2 linked regions of the Alligator mississippiensis genome follow. The protein of the gene in region 1 interacts with the protein of each later gene in a biochemical or structural test. Links are inferred from orthologs where the notes say so. Each region holds a gene or a part of one and is shown on either strand. Other genes may lie near its edges.

Region 1 (7,425 bases):
GGTGCCCCATGGTGAAGTGGGGGTAGGCACCGTCCATGGCATCGTCCAGCTGGCAGCACCTCTGTCCCAAACGCCCTCCAGCGGAGAGGGGGGTGGGGTCGGTGGGGCAGTGTCCTTGTGCACAAGTCCTCTGGGTGGTCTGGGGTGGAGGGGGGCTACCCCTCTCCTGCACTGGCATCCTGGAGGTACGAGTGCTGCAGGGCATCATAGGCCGAGATCCGCCTGTGGGGGCTGAAGGTCAGCAGCTCCTGGGGGAGGGGGGCAGAGAAGGAGGGGTTACATGGGGTGTGGAGACCCGCCCCGCACACAAGGCTGGGCTGGAAGCAGGATGGGGTTTCAGAGCAACAAAGGGTTAATGCATCAGCGAGGCCTTGCTTTTATCCACACCTTCAATGCCCCTCACTGCCCACCCAACCTGCAGCACCCTACAACCCATCCAGCGCCCCTCACTCCCAACCTACCAACAGCAGCTGGGCACCCAGGGCCTCTATCTCAGGCACGAAGGTCTTGACAGGCTGGGGGCCACGGGCCTTGAAGGCACCACGGGGCAGGGACACGTCTCGGGGCCAGTCGTCCTCCGCCGGGAGCCCAATCATGCTGTGGGATGGGAAGGGGGGACAGGGCACGTGAGTGGGCATCAGCTTTGGCAGGATCAGGGCCCCCCCGCCCACTCAGTACAGGAGTCCCGCCAGGCCCCACAGCCCCCAGGTGCTGCCAGCATGGATTCCCACACCCCCCACCCATGACTCACTCGAAGATCTTGCCCAGCTGGTCGGTCTCAGAGTTGCCACAGAAGAGAGGCCTGTGGAGGAGACAGGGCTGAGGTCAGAGGGGGCTGGGGGGGAGCCCTGCCCCCCATCTTCACCCTCTTCCTCTGCCCCCTGAGTGTGGCCGCACCAACCTTGGCACTGCTTCCCCTGCTGCAGGGAGCTGACCCGGTCCCGCCTCCCCCCCAGGCAGCTGCATGCACATGGACCACCCCCTTATCGCCCCTTCCCCTGCCCCTCCAGGGAAGGGGGAGCTGGCCCCTGCCCCTCCCTGCTTATCAGGCCCTGTCCGATAAGGCGCCCGGGGGTCGACCCTAGCTCGGCTCTAATCAATTGTCTCCCAGCCGCTGGGCCCCACCCTGCCCCTGCGCTCGATGCTGTACACAGTGGGATCCACCCAAGGGGGCTGGCAAAGACCCCTGCCCCCTACCCTTGGGGAAGAGGTGCTCACCCAGGCCCTACCATGCCCAGCGTGTCCCCACCACACTCTTGTGCCATCACGCACGTGTGCCGTCCCCCCACCCCACTCACTTGCGCCGGAACATCTCCGCGAAGATGCAGCCCACGCTCCACATGTCCACGGGGGTGGCATAGGTCGACTGCAGCAAGACCTCGGGCGCCCGGTACCACAGGGTCACCACCTGCGGGCGAGTGGGTGATACAGTCGCTTAGCCCCCCCACCCTCTCCCCATGGGCCGGGCTCCCCTGCATGGGGTGGGGGAGGGACAGAAGGCTCCAGCCAGGCAGGAAATGCCTTTGGGCTGAGTGTCCTTCCCCCATCGGTCACTTCCTCCCTCCACCCAGCCCAGACACTTCCTGGCTGGGAGAGGGGCTGGGCAGGGGGCTGCTTAGGTCATGGGAGTGGACCCCTGCCACCAGGGGAGTGCTGGGGGTGCAGAGAGCCCAGAAGACCCCTCCCCATCACCCCAGGCTCCCCTGCAAAGCAGAGGCCTTGCTAAGAGTCTACCCAGGCTCTCACTGTGCCCTGCTCCAGAGGTTGGGGGGGAGAGAGGTCTCAGATCCATCAGCAGAGACCAGCCCCCTCTTAACCCCCGCTAACCAGGGGCTGCTTCCACCTGCCAGGGCGGCCTGGATACCGGGGTGCCCCCAGAGCCCCCTCCCCCAGCTCACCACGGGTGTCAGGGCCATCTGGCAGCTGTAGATGCGGGCCAGCCCGAAGTCGGCCAGCTTCACCTGCCCGCCGCTGGTCACCAGGATGTTCTCGGGCTTCAGGTCGCGATGCACGATGCAGTTGGAGTGCAGGAAGTCCAGGCCCCGCAGGAATTGCCGCATCAGGTCCTGGCGGGGCAGGAGAGGAGCGTGAGCTCAAACAGCCTCTGGGTGGGTGGGTTTGGGGGGGGGAAGCAAGCTCAGGACCCCCCTGCCGTACCTTGATGGTGTCGGGGGGCAGCCCGGGGGCCGGGGCCTTGTCCAGGTAGGTTTTCAGGTCCTGGTCCACGTGCTCGAAGACCAGCGTCACCTTAGTCTCGCGCTCCGTGCGCATGGTGGCGCACACGTCCATCAGCCTGCGGGGGGGGGGGACAGGGTGAGCCAGGGGTCTCCAAGCCGGGGCAGCGGAGAGACGTGGGGGGCGGCAGCCACGGGGTGGAGCCCCCCGATCGTGGGGGAGCCACGGGACCAGGCGGCGCGGCGCTCACCGGATGATGTTGGGGTGGTCGAAGTGCTCGAGGCGCTTGAGCAGCGCCACCTCGCGCAGGGTGGAGGGCGGCAGCCCGTTCTCGGTGCTGGGCACCCGCACGTTCTTCAGCGCCACGAAGCGCCCGCTCTGCAGGTCCCGCGCCTTGTACACGGTGCCGTAGGCGCCCACGCCGATCTCGGCCACCGGCTCGTACTGCGCCCGCACCTCCTTGGCCATCCCGGCTCCCGGCCCCTGCAGGCAGAGCGGGGGTCACGGCCCGCGCCCCCGACCCTACAACAACACGGGCCCACGTGGCGGACCCCCGCCGGCCCCGCCCCAAGTGTGCGCGTGTCCCCGGGGCTCGCGCGTGCGCACGGGGGGCGGGGCGTGGCCAGGGCGGGGGGGGGCTCACCGGGGGCCACGCTGCGGTGGGGCCGGGCCGGACCGGGCGGGTGTCCGTGTCGGTGCGGGGGCCGGGGGGCGGGGCTGGAGGACCGGAACCAGCGAGACAGGGCGGCCGGAAGGACCGCGCAGACCCCCCCCGCTCCCCGCCCCCCGGACGCATGGGTTGGCGGGGGGGCGGGATTTGAACCCGGGGTTCTGGGGGTGCAGCTCAGCCCCCCCCCACAGTGTATGGGGGGGGCTCCTGCCTCACCTCCCCCACCCCCATATGGGGGGGCAGTGCTGGGGGGGGCAGTTCCACCCCAGAAGTGGCTGCATTTGCCCGGGGGTGGTGCCCCCCCTCCCCCCAGAGCCTGCAAGGGGGGGGGTCTCTCCTCCTGCCCCCCCTCCCCCCGGGCTGCCTGGACCCGCTGGGGGTGCCCTTAGTTCGTGGGGGGGGGGAGGGTTCAGATGCTACCGTAATGCGTGTAATACAGGGGCAGAGGAGTGCCGGGGAGGGGAGGGCAGGGCAGTGCCGGGGCAGCGCTCATTAGCCCCGGTGTCTGGCTCCTCCTCCCGGTGCGGGAGGCTCCGGCCGGAGGCGGCTCGGGGCTTTCAGCACCACGAACAGGGCCCGGCCCCTCGCCCGCCGCGCGCTGTCACGAGTTTGCCCCGCGTCGGGCCTCAGCTCTGTGCCCCGCTCTTCTCCCGGGGTAGGCGGCTGCCCGGGCCCGCGGGGACCAGCCCCACGGTGGGAAGGGCCCGGCTGGGCCCCTCCCTGCTCTGTGCCTCAGTTTCCCCGGCTCTTAAAGGCTTCCTGGCGCTGCGGTCCCGCAGAGACTGCCTCGTGTGCGCGTGTGCAGGTGTGAACACGGGGGCGCGCGCGTGATGTGCGGGTGTCTACGCGGGCGTGGGCATGCATGGGCACACGCGTATGTATGCAAGAGTGTACACGCACACAAATGCATGTAAGTGCATGAATGTACATGTGTGCGTGTGTGTAGGTGTGCTCGTGCCCATGCATATGTGTTTATGCATGCGATGCATGTATATGCGTGTGTCTATGCATGTGTTCACGTGTGAGTACTTGCGTAGGTGTGTACATGCCTATGCATGTATGTGTGTGCACATGTGCGCATGTGATGTATGTGTGTTTACACGTGATGCATGCGTACATGCCCATGTATATGTGTTCATGTGTGTGTGCAGGTGATGCATGTGTGCACCTGAGTATGTGTGCATGTATAACCGCATATGTGTGCAGGTATGTGCATTCCCATGTACTTACATGTGTTTATGTGTGTGCATGCATGCAATGCATGTGTGTACCTGCATGTGCATGCATGTATGTATGTGCCCATGCATGTGTGTACATGCCCACATATGTGTGTTTATGTGTGTGCACATGGGATGCGTGTGTGCACTTGTGTGTGTACATGTCTATGTGTGTGGGCATGTGTGCACATGTGATGCATGTGTGTTTACACATGCAATGCATGCATACATGCCCATGTATGTGTGTTCATGTGTGTGTGCAAGTGATCCATGTGTGCACCTAAGTGTGTGTGGATGCATACCTGCATATATGTGCAGGTATGTGCATGCCCATGTACGTATGTGTGTTTATGCATGCGCATACATGTGTGCACCTGCATGTGTGAGCATGTATGTATGTGTACATGCCCACATATATATGTGTTTGTGTGTGCACATGGGATGCATGTGTGCACTTGTGTATGTGTGTACATGCCTATGTATGTGTGTGTGCATGTGTGCACATGGGGTGCATGTGTGTTTACACATGCGATGCATGCGTACTGTTCACATGTGTGCAGGTGATGCATGGGTGCACCTGAGTATGTGTGCATGCGTACCTGCATATGTGCGCAGGTATGTGCATGCTCATGTACGTATGCGTGTTTATGCGTGTGCCTGCATGCGATGCATGTGTGTACCTCCGTATGTGTGCATGCCTATGTATCTTTGGTATCCAGGTTGCAGCCGTATTGGTCTAGAGGAAAAAGCAATCAGGATTCGTAGAGATGAGATCTTTTATTAGACCAACAAGATTTTTTGCAAAAAAATAAAAATAAAAATAATCTTTAATTGCAACCCTCATGCATGTCTGTGCATTTATGCGTGTGCACATTGCTGGACGCAGAGCTTGTCCAGACCTATGCAAAACTGAAACGACTAAATGACAATATCAGTGCCTTTTGCATGAGAATGTACACTCGTGATGGGGCCCACCCGAAACATTGCAATACAGTTCATCCCATCTCTGGCTTTGGTATCAAGTAGGCCCCATGCCCAACTACTCTAAACTGATTATGAATCAATTAAATTCCCCTTTCAAAGTGACTGCCTCTCCCTTGTTATCACCTTCCTCCCCAGTCTAGGTGTCTGCCAACTGGAAAAGATTGTGGGATCTGCCCTGTTATAACAATGACCTATACCCTGGCTTAGGATTCAGGGCCTAAGGTGCTCAATTCAAGTAATCAAGCCCCACCTCAGTTAATCAAGTAGTAAACCACTGGTTTTGGGTGTTGGGCTTTGAGCAATCAAGCTATACTATAGTTAAGCAAATGCTAAACCTCCAGAGCGATCAAGGGTCTTTGTGCATGTCAGTTGGTTGGTCCAGCGATGGATCCAAAAGGTTGCCGGTTACAACACAACCCAAGGACAATCCCCCGCCACCTTGTCAGCTTCAACCCATCAAAAAAATCTGTTTCGAAGCCATACAATTCAACAGTATAAGAACTAAACGTTTGCCAGCAAGGCGTGTGCAGTCCAGGGGAGACCCAGAAGGCATCCTGCCACCCAGCCAGCAAGTGAAGGATCCCTGCTGGGAGGCTGCACAAGAGCTGCTTCCTGCCCGCATTGGGTAAAGACCTCTGTGAAGCTAAGATAATACTAGGACGAATTGCTCGTTTTATATCCCAGAAAAGTCTTTGTTCTGTGATTTAGTGCTGTAGCTTGTTGGAACAAGCCTCCCTGCTATCCAGCAACCCAGTGGTGTGTCAATTCATAAAGTGCTGGGTTCAAAATTCAGTTTCTAAGTGCAGCGATGTGATGCACGTGTGTACCTGCATATGTCTGCGTGCACATGCCCGTGCATGTATGTGTATGCACGTGTGCACCGGTCATGCATGTGTTCACACATGCAATGAATGTACATGTGCCCATGCACGTGTGTTCCTGCGCATGCACACGTGATGCATGCGTGCACCTGCATGTGTGTACATGCCCATGTATGTTTGTGCATGTGTGCACCTGTGATGCATGTGTGTTCCTGCATGTGACACATACATGCACCAGTAGTGCATATGTGTTTCCGCATGCAATGGTGTACAGACCCATGTTTGTGTGTTCCTGTGTGTGTGCACATGTGATGCATGTGTGCACCTGCATGTGTGCGCATGCCCATGCACATTTGTGCGCAGATGATGCAGGTGTGCACCTGAGTATGTGTGCCTGTGTGCATGCACGTATGTGTGTGTAGGTGTGTGCCTTTGTGCATGCGCACATGTGCATGTGTGCATGCATTGTGTGTGTGTGTACACCAATCTGTACACCCATCTCCTTTTCTTTGCCCTCTGACCCCAGGGCTTTCCAGGGCCTGCTGGGAAGCTCCAAGGGGAAGGCCGGGTGGTGGGAAATGGGAATGTCCTCTGCCACTAACTCCTTGTGTGCCCTTGGTCATGTCACTTAGCCCACCCGAACCTCGGTGCCCACGGAGACGGGATGGAAGTGTGGATTACTATCAGGATCTACTCAAAGGGGCTCTCTCATGTCTTGTACCCATGTCCCAGCCCCGCCAGCCTACAGAAATGGCCAGGCCTGGCTTGAGGCCTGGTCCAGACCCTGCTGGAGCTTCACAGCTCAGCTGCCCCATTACACCCCCTGGGAGCTCAGGATAGGGCCCCGATCTGGGAGATTTTGCAGCAGGGGCGTCTGACAGGGGTGGCCCGGGAGCGGCGAGTCCCACGTGCAGGATGGGGGGCTGGACCAGAACCTGCAACCCCCCACTGGGACCTTGCAGTCTGTGCGTCTCTGCCCGGGAGGGGGAGCAGCCTCTGTGTGGACAGGCCACGAATCAGCCTCCACAACCTCCCCAAGCATCACTCAGGGCCCCTTGCTCTGCCTGTTCTGCTGCTCTGCTTTCTGCTCCCTGTCCCATCCATCACTCTGCTATCTACTCCCTGCCTTGTGCTCCCAGGCCCATCTGCCGCTCTGCTTTCTGCTCACTGCCTTGTGCTCCCTGGCCCATCTGCTGCTGTGCTATCTACTCGCTGCACCATGCTCCCTGCTCCACTTGCTGCCCTGCATTCTCCTCCCTACCCCATCTGCCACTCTGCTTTCTGCTCCCTGCCTTGTGCTCCCTGGCCAATCAACCACTCTGCTTTCTGCTCCCTGTCCTGTGCTCCCTGTTCCATCCACCGCTCTGCTTTCTGCTCCCTGTCCCATTTGCTGCCCTGCATTCTCCTCCCCACCCCATCTGCCACTCTTGCTTTCTGCTCCCTGCTTAATCCACTGCTCTGCTTTCTGTCCCCATGCTGTCCACGCCCTCCTGAGCTTGCCAGGTACCACTCGTGGCACACCTGCCCTGCCCCCCCCCCCCCCAGCAGCCTTTGCTCA
Region 2 (7,396 bases), on another chromosome or scaffold:
TTCAGCTCCCTCCCGGTAAGTCTATGCAGGGAAGTGGGGGGGAGGGGGAGGAACTGAGGCCCCCACAGTGAGGGAGGGAGAGAGGGATTAAAGTAAGACAGGGCAGGACAGGGCTGGGATGGGCTGTGGTCACTGCCCAGCTGAAGTGGTACATGGGGTCCAGGACCAAGATAGAAATGTGCAGCCACAGGGCCCAGTGAGGGGTAGGGGGGGGGGCTCCCTGCTGCTGCGCATAATCCCAGGAAGAGAGGAAGGGGGGGGCACATGCCCCCTGGATTTGTGTGCAGGGGTGGGGTAGATGTGAACTGCCAGCTGCAGGCTTGGGGCTCCCTACCCTGCTGCCCTCTCCCAGGGGCCTCCGCAGCAGAGTGGGGTGGGGAAGCTCAATGCCACTTCAGGGAGCCCCATGTTGGCGACACCACCATGGCAAGCCACCCCCTGCCTACCTAGCAACAGCTGGGGGACACAACTCCATGCTGCTGCTGCTGCTGCCAGGTGGGCAGGGTTGCCTCACCATGGTGGCAAGGCCAGCATGCTGTTCCCAGCCATGGCACTGAGCCTCCCCTCCAGGGCCCACCCACTGAGCTGCAGAAGCCCTGAGCCCACAATAGGCAGGTCATATCTCCCTCCCCTCTCCCCGCAATGGGCTTCATTTCAGTTGTGCTGCCCACAGTGGGGGAGGGGGGGAGTGGCAGAGAGCTGAACTGCATGCTCCACTCTGGCCACAGCAACCACCACCTCCCATGGGAGGCCTCCGGGGCTTGGGTGCTGATGGGGGGGCGGGATAGGGGGCTACAGGCCGTGGCCCTGGTTTCTGTAGCCCTGGCAGCTGGGGGCCCCCTTAGCTGTGGGGTGTAGCCCATATAACATGTTGAAAGCTGCATGTGTGGCCCACTATGGCAAATAGGTTGAAAACCGCTGAATTAGAATATAACCTATCAACCATATTTCTGTATTCACTAGCCTTCTTTAATAAGCTTCTGAAATTGGCCAGGTAATAGAATAAAAATTTCAAGGTGAACATGGATTTTTTTTACTTTTCTTTGCCTGCCTGAACTGCATGTGAACCAAAGTTTGAACTTCTTAAAAACTTTCTTTTGAAACCTAGGCAAGAAGTTTTTTTCCTTAACAGGTGACCATGTGTTAGAGGCTTTTTAGGACACAGGGATGAAACTTAATAGAGCTCTGTATGCAGATGATGCACTCCTTTTTGTAAAAAACCCTCTTTTTTCCTTAAAAGCAATAGTATTCCAGGCATGTAAGTTTGTCTCTTTTTATGGATAAAAAAATAATTATGAAGAATCAGAAATGTTAGATCATGGTATTTCTGAGAAACTTAAGCTTATATAAATGTATATATGAAAAACTATATGCATTTAATTGGGTTAAAATTCAATAAGATGCCTGGGTATTAACTTTACAGTAAAGCACAAGAAACTTTTTATCACCAATTATTTGCCAGTCTGGTCTAAAATAACAAAACCCCTCAGAAAATGGAGGGGGATGGGGGATGGATATTTCTTGGAGAAACAGAATAACCACTTTTAAAATAAATATATATCCCAAAAATTCCTTTACTGTTGTAAAGCTTAACTATATGTATGCCAAGGAGTACATTAAAGGCTTCACAAACTTTTCTCCTGAATTTTGCCTGTAAAAGTAAGAGGCCAAGCGTAAGCACATCAGTTATACACAGGCCTTCTAAAATGGAAGATCTTGCAGTGCCCACCATAATGGCATATTATCATGCAGCCCAGTTGAAAGATATACATTGGTGTGTGAAAAGTTGCTTTCCCCACACTCCTCCCCATTAACTGTCCAAAGAATTCCTCCCTAGAACTGATCAAAAATGCAATTCTTAGCATGTCTATATATTCATTAATGTGCCTTTCCTACTGCATTAAGTTTAGTACCTCTAATATGAGGTACTAGATAAAGGCACAGTAGCAGCACTAATGCAGGGTAGCAAAGGCATTTTTTTTGTGATGCTCAATGCACAGCAGACTAATTCTACTGCATATTAGTTTTTGCTGCAATGTGCTAATGCACAGTAGAACAGTTCAGGGTACATTAAGGCATCTGGTATAAACATACCCTCAGTTTGGGTCAGGGTGGGTATTCTCCAGTTAGGCAAATGCTTTTGGGAGGAGGCTATGAGATCTTATAAAATAAAGGAATCTGTGATAACCCTAATGGAAATGAGTCCTTTTTTCAGTATCCTCACATTAGGAATTTTATTTAAAAAATAAATAGAAAAGCATACTCCCTTTGAGCAACTGACATATTGTGGACTCAAGAAAAAAAGAGTTAATCTTATATATGCAATTTTAATAGAGAAAGGGATGGCTAGGAAGACTAAACAAATGAAGGCTTGTGAAAGAGACCTGAGGAAAGAAACTGAGCTAGAGCACTGAAGAGAAATTTGGGGACAGAGGTGTTCATTTTCCATATATGCTTTCCAAAGGAAAAAAAAAAAGCCTTTTATAAAATACTCCAAAGATGAGACCTATCTCCAACTAGAATCCAACACATATTTTCTAATGGTGATGCATCATGTTGGAGAAACTAAAGAGAAAGAGGTCCCTTTTTCCATATGTTATGGTTGTGTCCAAATGTACAAATATTCTGGGGGGGAGGGTGGAAGGGGGAAGTTACTAGTGAGGTGGGTGGTAATAATTCTTTGAATCCACTGGTTTGTCATTTGAATGCCCCAGTAAAAGTCGTTAGCTAGATTACAGATGGCTTATATGTGGAAGGAACCATCCCCTCTTCCTCTCCCCCATAATGTGCTAACCTAAAATATAGGATGTGTTGTTGTTGGACAAACTGTCATATCAAATTAGATTACCAGCCTAAGACAAAGAAGGAATAGATATTTCAAAATATGGGTTCTATTTCCAACCTATACTGATCTATTTCTATTGCTGAGGGCAAAAAATTACCACCCAGTAAGCTAGTCTCTAGTCAGATTCTTTGAAAATTAATTAATGACCACACACATACGCACACACACACACACACACACACACATACACACACACACCACGATATTGATAGTAGTGATAATTTATAGGAATTGTTTTGTATTATTTCTTTTGTAATGATGTTACAGCTTCAACCTCATTCGAATTCCTGCATGTTCCTCTTTGTTTCCGATTTTGCTTTATATAGTTGCCTGAATCAAAAAAGTTGGGGGGGGGGGGGAGAGAGAGAGAGAAAGGAAAGAAGACTTCCAGAGGTTATCTACTCGGACACTGTACAGCTCTGTTCAGACCAGCCCAGAAGGGGAATCTCAGGATCCCACCTATAATGGTGCTTATTTTAATGGTAATGTTGGGAGATGCTCGGTACTAGAGTATTAAAACATATTAAGAAAGTAGGGCTGGAAGGGATCACAAGGCAGGCTTGGTCATATCATATCATAGAATCATATCATAAAAATTAAGGCTTGGACAGGACCTAAAGATCATCGAGTCCAACCCCCTGCTGTGGACAGGAATAGTGCTGAGTTCAAATGATCCCAGCAAGGTGTCTGTCCAGTCCCGACTAAACCATCCCTCCTAAGTGTCAGTCCAACCTACTCTTAATAGTTTCCAAGCAAGGAGATTCCACAAGTTCTCTAAGTAGTCTATTCCAATGCCTGACCACCCTCAGAGTCCCAAAGGTTTTCCTACTATCCATCCTAAATCTCCCATGCTGCAGTTTGAGGCCATTGCTCCTAGTGCAGTCCCCTACAGCTAGAGCCAGAGGGAAAAATCCCTCCCCATCTTCTCTGTAAGGCCCTTCAGGTATTTGGAGACTGTTCTCAAATCGCCCCTCCCCCCGCTCTTCTCTTCTGCGGAATCAAGAACCCTAGCTCCTTCAAGCTTTTCTCAGAAGCCTTGCCCCCCTGGCCCCGAACCACTGTTGTCTCTCTGCTGGGCTTTTTCCAAGAGATCCACGTCCTTCGTGAATCGCGGGCCCGACAGCTGAGTGGCATCTCCCATCCCCCCGAGCTGGCGTTGAGATGAGGCGCCTGGGCAGGGTTTGCCATAGGCAAGGGCGCAGTGGCGGCCAGCCTTTGCTCTTGGCGTGTTCAGCAGGGGCCCAAGACACTTTTCCTGGGGCCGAAGGAAAGCTGGTAGTATGGTCGCGGGCCTGGTACCCAGCGCTGCTCAGCCTACACCTCCTGCCCTATCCCCCGTCCCCGCGAGGCAGCCCGCGCCCACGCTGCGCGCTCCGGATGGCCAGGCAGGCGCTTGCGCCGGGGCTGGTGGCAGCGCACCTCCACCCAGCGGCTGCAGCCCTCAGGGCCGTGCGCGCCCTCGAGCCGACGCGGGGTGGCGGGGCTGGGGGGGCTGAGCACGGGAGCAGGGGAAGATCCCGCCCCTTTCCCGCGGGACTGAGGGCGGCCGGTGGAAACGGAAGGGCTACGAGCTTACAGGCTGCGGCAGCAGCAGAGAGGGGGCGTGGGGGCTGCCGGCTGGCGGCACATGGCGGCGAGCCCGGGCGACCAGCTGGCCAGCGCCGCGGCGCGGGGGGACTGCGCGGCAGTACAGGCGCTGCTGGAGGCGGGCGCGGCCCCCGACGCCCAGAACAGCTTCGGCCGCACGGCGCTGCAGGTAGCCTCCCCGCGGGGGCGGCTGAGCGCGGGGGAGCCGGCTAACTGCACCTGGGTTTCACAGCGCTGGGACTGGGGGGTGAATCAATCGCGGGGAGACGTCGGAGAGAAATCTGGGTTGAAGAGGGGACCCCACCCCGGGTTTAGCAAATCCTAATCCGTCTGGTCCCCCAGGAGAGTGGGGGAAGGGGGGAGTTCCGGCTGCTTGCGCAGGCAGCTGGAAGGGGCATGTGCGTTCCCCTGGTCCCGGGGCCCCGTGTCTTCCATTTCTCTTCTCTTCTTCCCTTGGTGGATTTTTTTTTTTTTTTTTTTTTTTTTTTTTGCGGGGGGGACACTTTTGTTGCTGGTGTTTTTTAGTTTTCGTTTGTTTTCAATCCTCTTGATAACACTGGCGTGCAAGGCTGCATTACTGTTCTCTAGAAACGGCGCCCGGGTAAGAGGGCAGAGATATAGAGAGCAGAAGGTTTGAAAAACAAAGCTGTAAAAATTCAAGGAATTAAGTAATTAGATTGTCTTGGTGCACAAAGAGTGATTGCAGAGAAAAACGTGGTGCCTCTAGTTGTTGGGGTTTTTTGTTTTGGGGGGGGTTGGTTGTTTTTTTGGGGGGAGGGGAGGGGAGGGGGTTGTTTCTTTTTGTTTTCAATCCCCAACCCAGTGTCAAAACACCAGGCTGAACTGGGCATAAATCAGCCACTGACTCTGGAATAATTTTGGTAGCCTACAGACAAGATGCATCGTTCTTTTCTCTTTATTACTCTTGGAAAGGAAAGTAATAAAAAAACACATGTGGGGGGAGAGAGAGAGAGTCCATTTCCAAGTAGGTTCAGATTTTAGATCCACCCTATAGTTTTCTCTCAACCTGTATTTGAGATTGGGAAGAGAAGCTACTGCCATTTAATTAATAAAAAGGTTGGCACACAAAATAGCTGCCATGCAGGTAAGCTTTTACAAAGAGTTTTAGCCATTTAAAATGTAACCTGCCCAGAAAAAAAGGCATGCAAAATGTCCATGTTATTTATATGTACCTTTTAAATGAATATTTAAAGATAATATTCCATTACCTGTATTCAAATTTTCTCTCTCTCAGAATGTAGTTACAAAAAAGTTTAGGTTTCAAGGTATTTAAGGCAGCATTAAGTGTCAAATACATTATTTTGTTTAAAATGGGGATTTGTGCATGTTAAAAGTTATGTAAATCAAATCATATAAAGAAATTGCAATATTAGTACAGTTCTATTTGTTTCAAATAGCAAGTGTGAGGCAGCCAGTTAAGAAAATGGATTCTTCCTCAAAATAAAAAATAGAAGTGTATGCTGTCTCGACTTATACCCCCCCAAAAAACAAACCAAAACAGAACAAAAACACTTTTTCCTGGATTCCTTTTATTAACGACCTTATACTATTTAATTATTTGGCTACCTAACTGAGAAAAAAAAATTAGTCCCCTTTGCACTAAGGCAGACAGGGATCTTTGGGTAAATCTGATATTTTTTATTAGACCAATTAAAATAGTTGGAGAAATTTTTCTGTTGCAAGCCAGAGAAAGAAGAATTTCTCCAACTCTTCACCCTATGTCCTTAGACCAGCATGGATGACTACAACCTATACCCTTTGCACTAAAACACTGATACTTGCATATACCCGACAATAATAGAAGTCTAACAATATCGATTTAATTTAGTATAGTTTATATTATTATGTATTTATTACACACGCTTCTGTTTACAAAAGCCTATTTCCATGAGTCGCTGAAAGGACTAATGCCCAGGCTGAACGAGATAGATTCTGAGCTCGAGCGCAGTACACAAATGATAGCGACAGGGTCCAGAGCAGTCCCTAAGGATGTGCGGGGCAGGGAGTGGCGAACTGCAGGAGTCAGCAATGCTCGGCGGTGGTAGAGCCGGCGGTGCGTGGCGGCCGCGGCAGGGCCTGTACTGCACTGTCCACGGGCCCCACCAAGGCGTGGGGCCCCGGGCAGTCGCCCCGATTCGCCTCCCCCCCACCCCCAATAGGGACTGCCCTGACAGGGTCACAACGATTACCCATTGTCAGAGACGATAATCCCGTGGATAGTGAGCAATCCTTTCTCAATAGGCGATCTCCATTTCGTTTAGCCCAAGAAGTTTCCCATGCGGGCACTAGCGAAAACAGATCTAGCTTACGTACTGCAGGGCTGGGGGCCTACTGTCTACTAAACTTACAGGAAAAAATGTCCCCTTGTACTAAAACATTGGTATTTGCAGAGGCTGGACAATAATAAGGGACCAATAATATATCATAATTTTAAATAATATTATTATATAATCAGTAATATTTTTAGAATTGTACTATACACTATATAACATTGATATTTGCAGATACTGGACAATAATAGGGACTAATCATATACATATTATATATATATATTCTAATATATATATTATTGGTCCCTATTATTGTCCAACAACTGCACATATCAGTGTTATATTTATATACATATATTTAATATAGTGTATAATACAATTCTAAAAAAATAAATTATTAAAAATAAAAAATTGCAACTAATTAATTCATTAAAATTAAAGAAATTTAAATTTAAAAAATATTTTAAAATGTGCTGCTCACCGGGGGAAAATATCTTCAAAGCAACCGGAGTTAGGAAATTTCATATCGGCGGAGGATTGCCCCAGGATTTGATTTCTTCTCCTTGCCCCCCTTTTTTCGGGGGCGAGGAAAGTCTGACTGGTTTTAAAGGGAGCACATGATCTGGTTCTCGTTCCCTCCTCAGTTAACAAAGGAAACGGTCGGCATAGCGAA

Evidence for each region. The genes of interacting proteins can lie anywhere in the genome.
Region 2: the proteins of CDK4 (region 1) and cyclin-dependent kinase 4 inhibitor B-like form a complex in vitro, tested with the Homo sapiens proteins (12 studies listed by BioGRID and IntAct, with this or other methods). The link is inferred for Alligator mississippiensis from reciprocal best matches to the Homo sapiens genes CDK4 and CDKN2A.

The regions. Positions count from the first base shown.
Region 1 is NC_081838.1:7,482,903-7,490,327, forward strand, and holds the start of CDK4 (cyclin-dependent kinase 4), read right to left. Parts: upstream 3,003-7,425; 5' UTR 2,972-3,002; coding exon 2,819-2,971; intron 2,659-2,818; coding exon 2,426-2,658; intron 2,294-2,425; coding exon 2,158-2,293; intron 2,067-2,157; coding exon 1,899-2,066; intron 1,409-1,898; coding exon 1,299-1,408; intron 803-1,298; coding exon 752-802; intron 598-751; coding exon 462-597; intron 249-461; coding exon 156-248; 3' UTR 1-155.
Region 2 is NC_081826.1:175,523,621-175,531,016, forward strand, and holds the start of cyclin-dependent kinase 4 inhibitor B-like, read left to right. Parts: upstream 1-4,380; 5' UTR 4,381-4,472; coding exon 4,473-4,601; intron 4,602-7,396. UniProt on the Homo sapiens protein: Acts as a negative regulator of the proliferation of normal cells by interacting strongly with CDK4 and CDK6. This inhibits their ability to interact with cyclins D and to phosphorylate the retinoblastoma protein.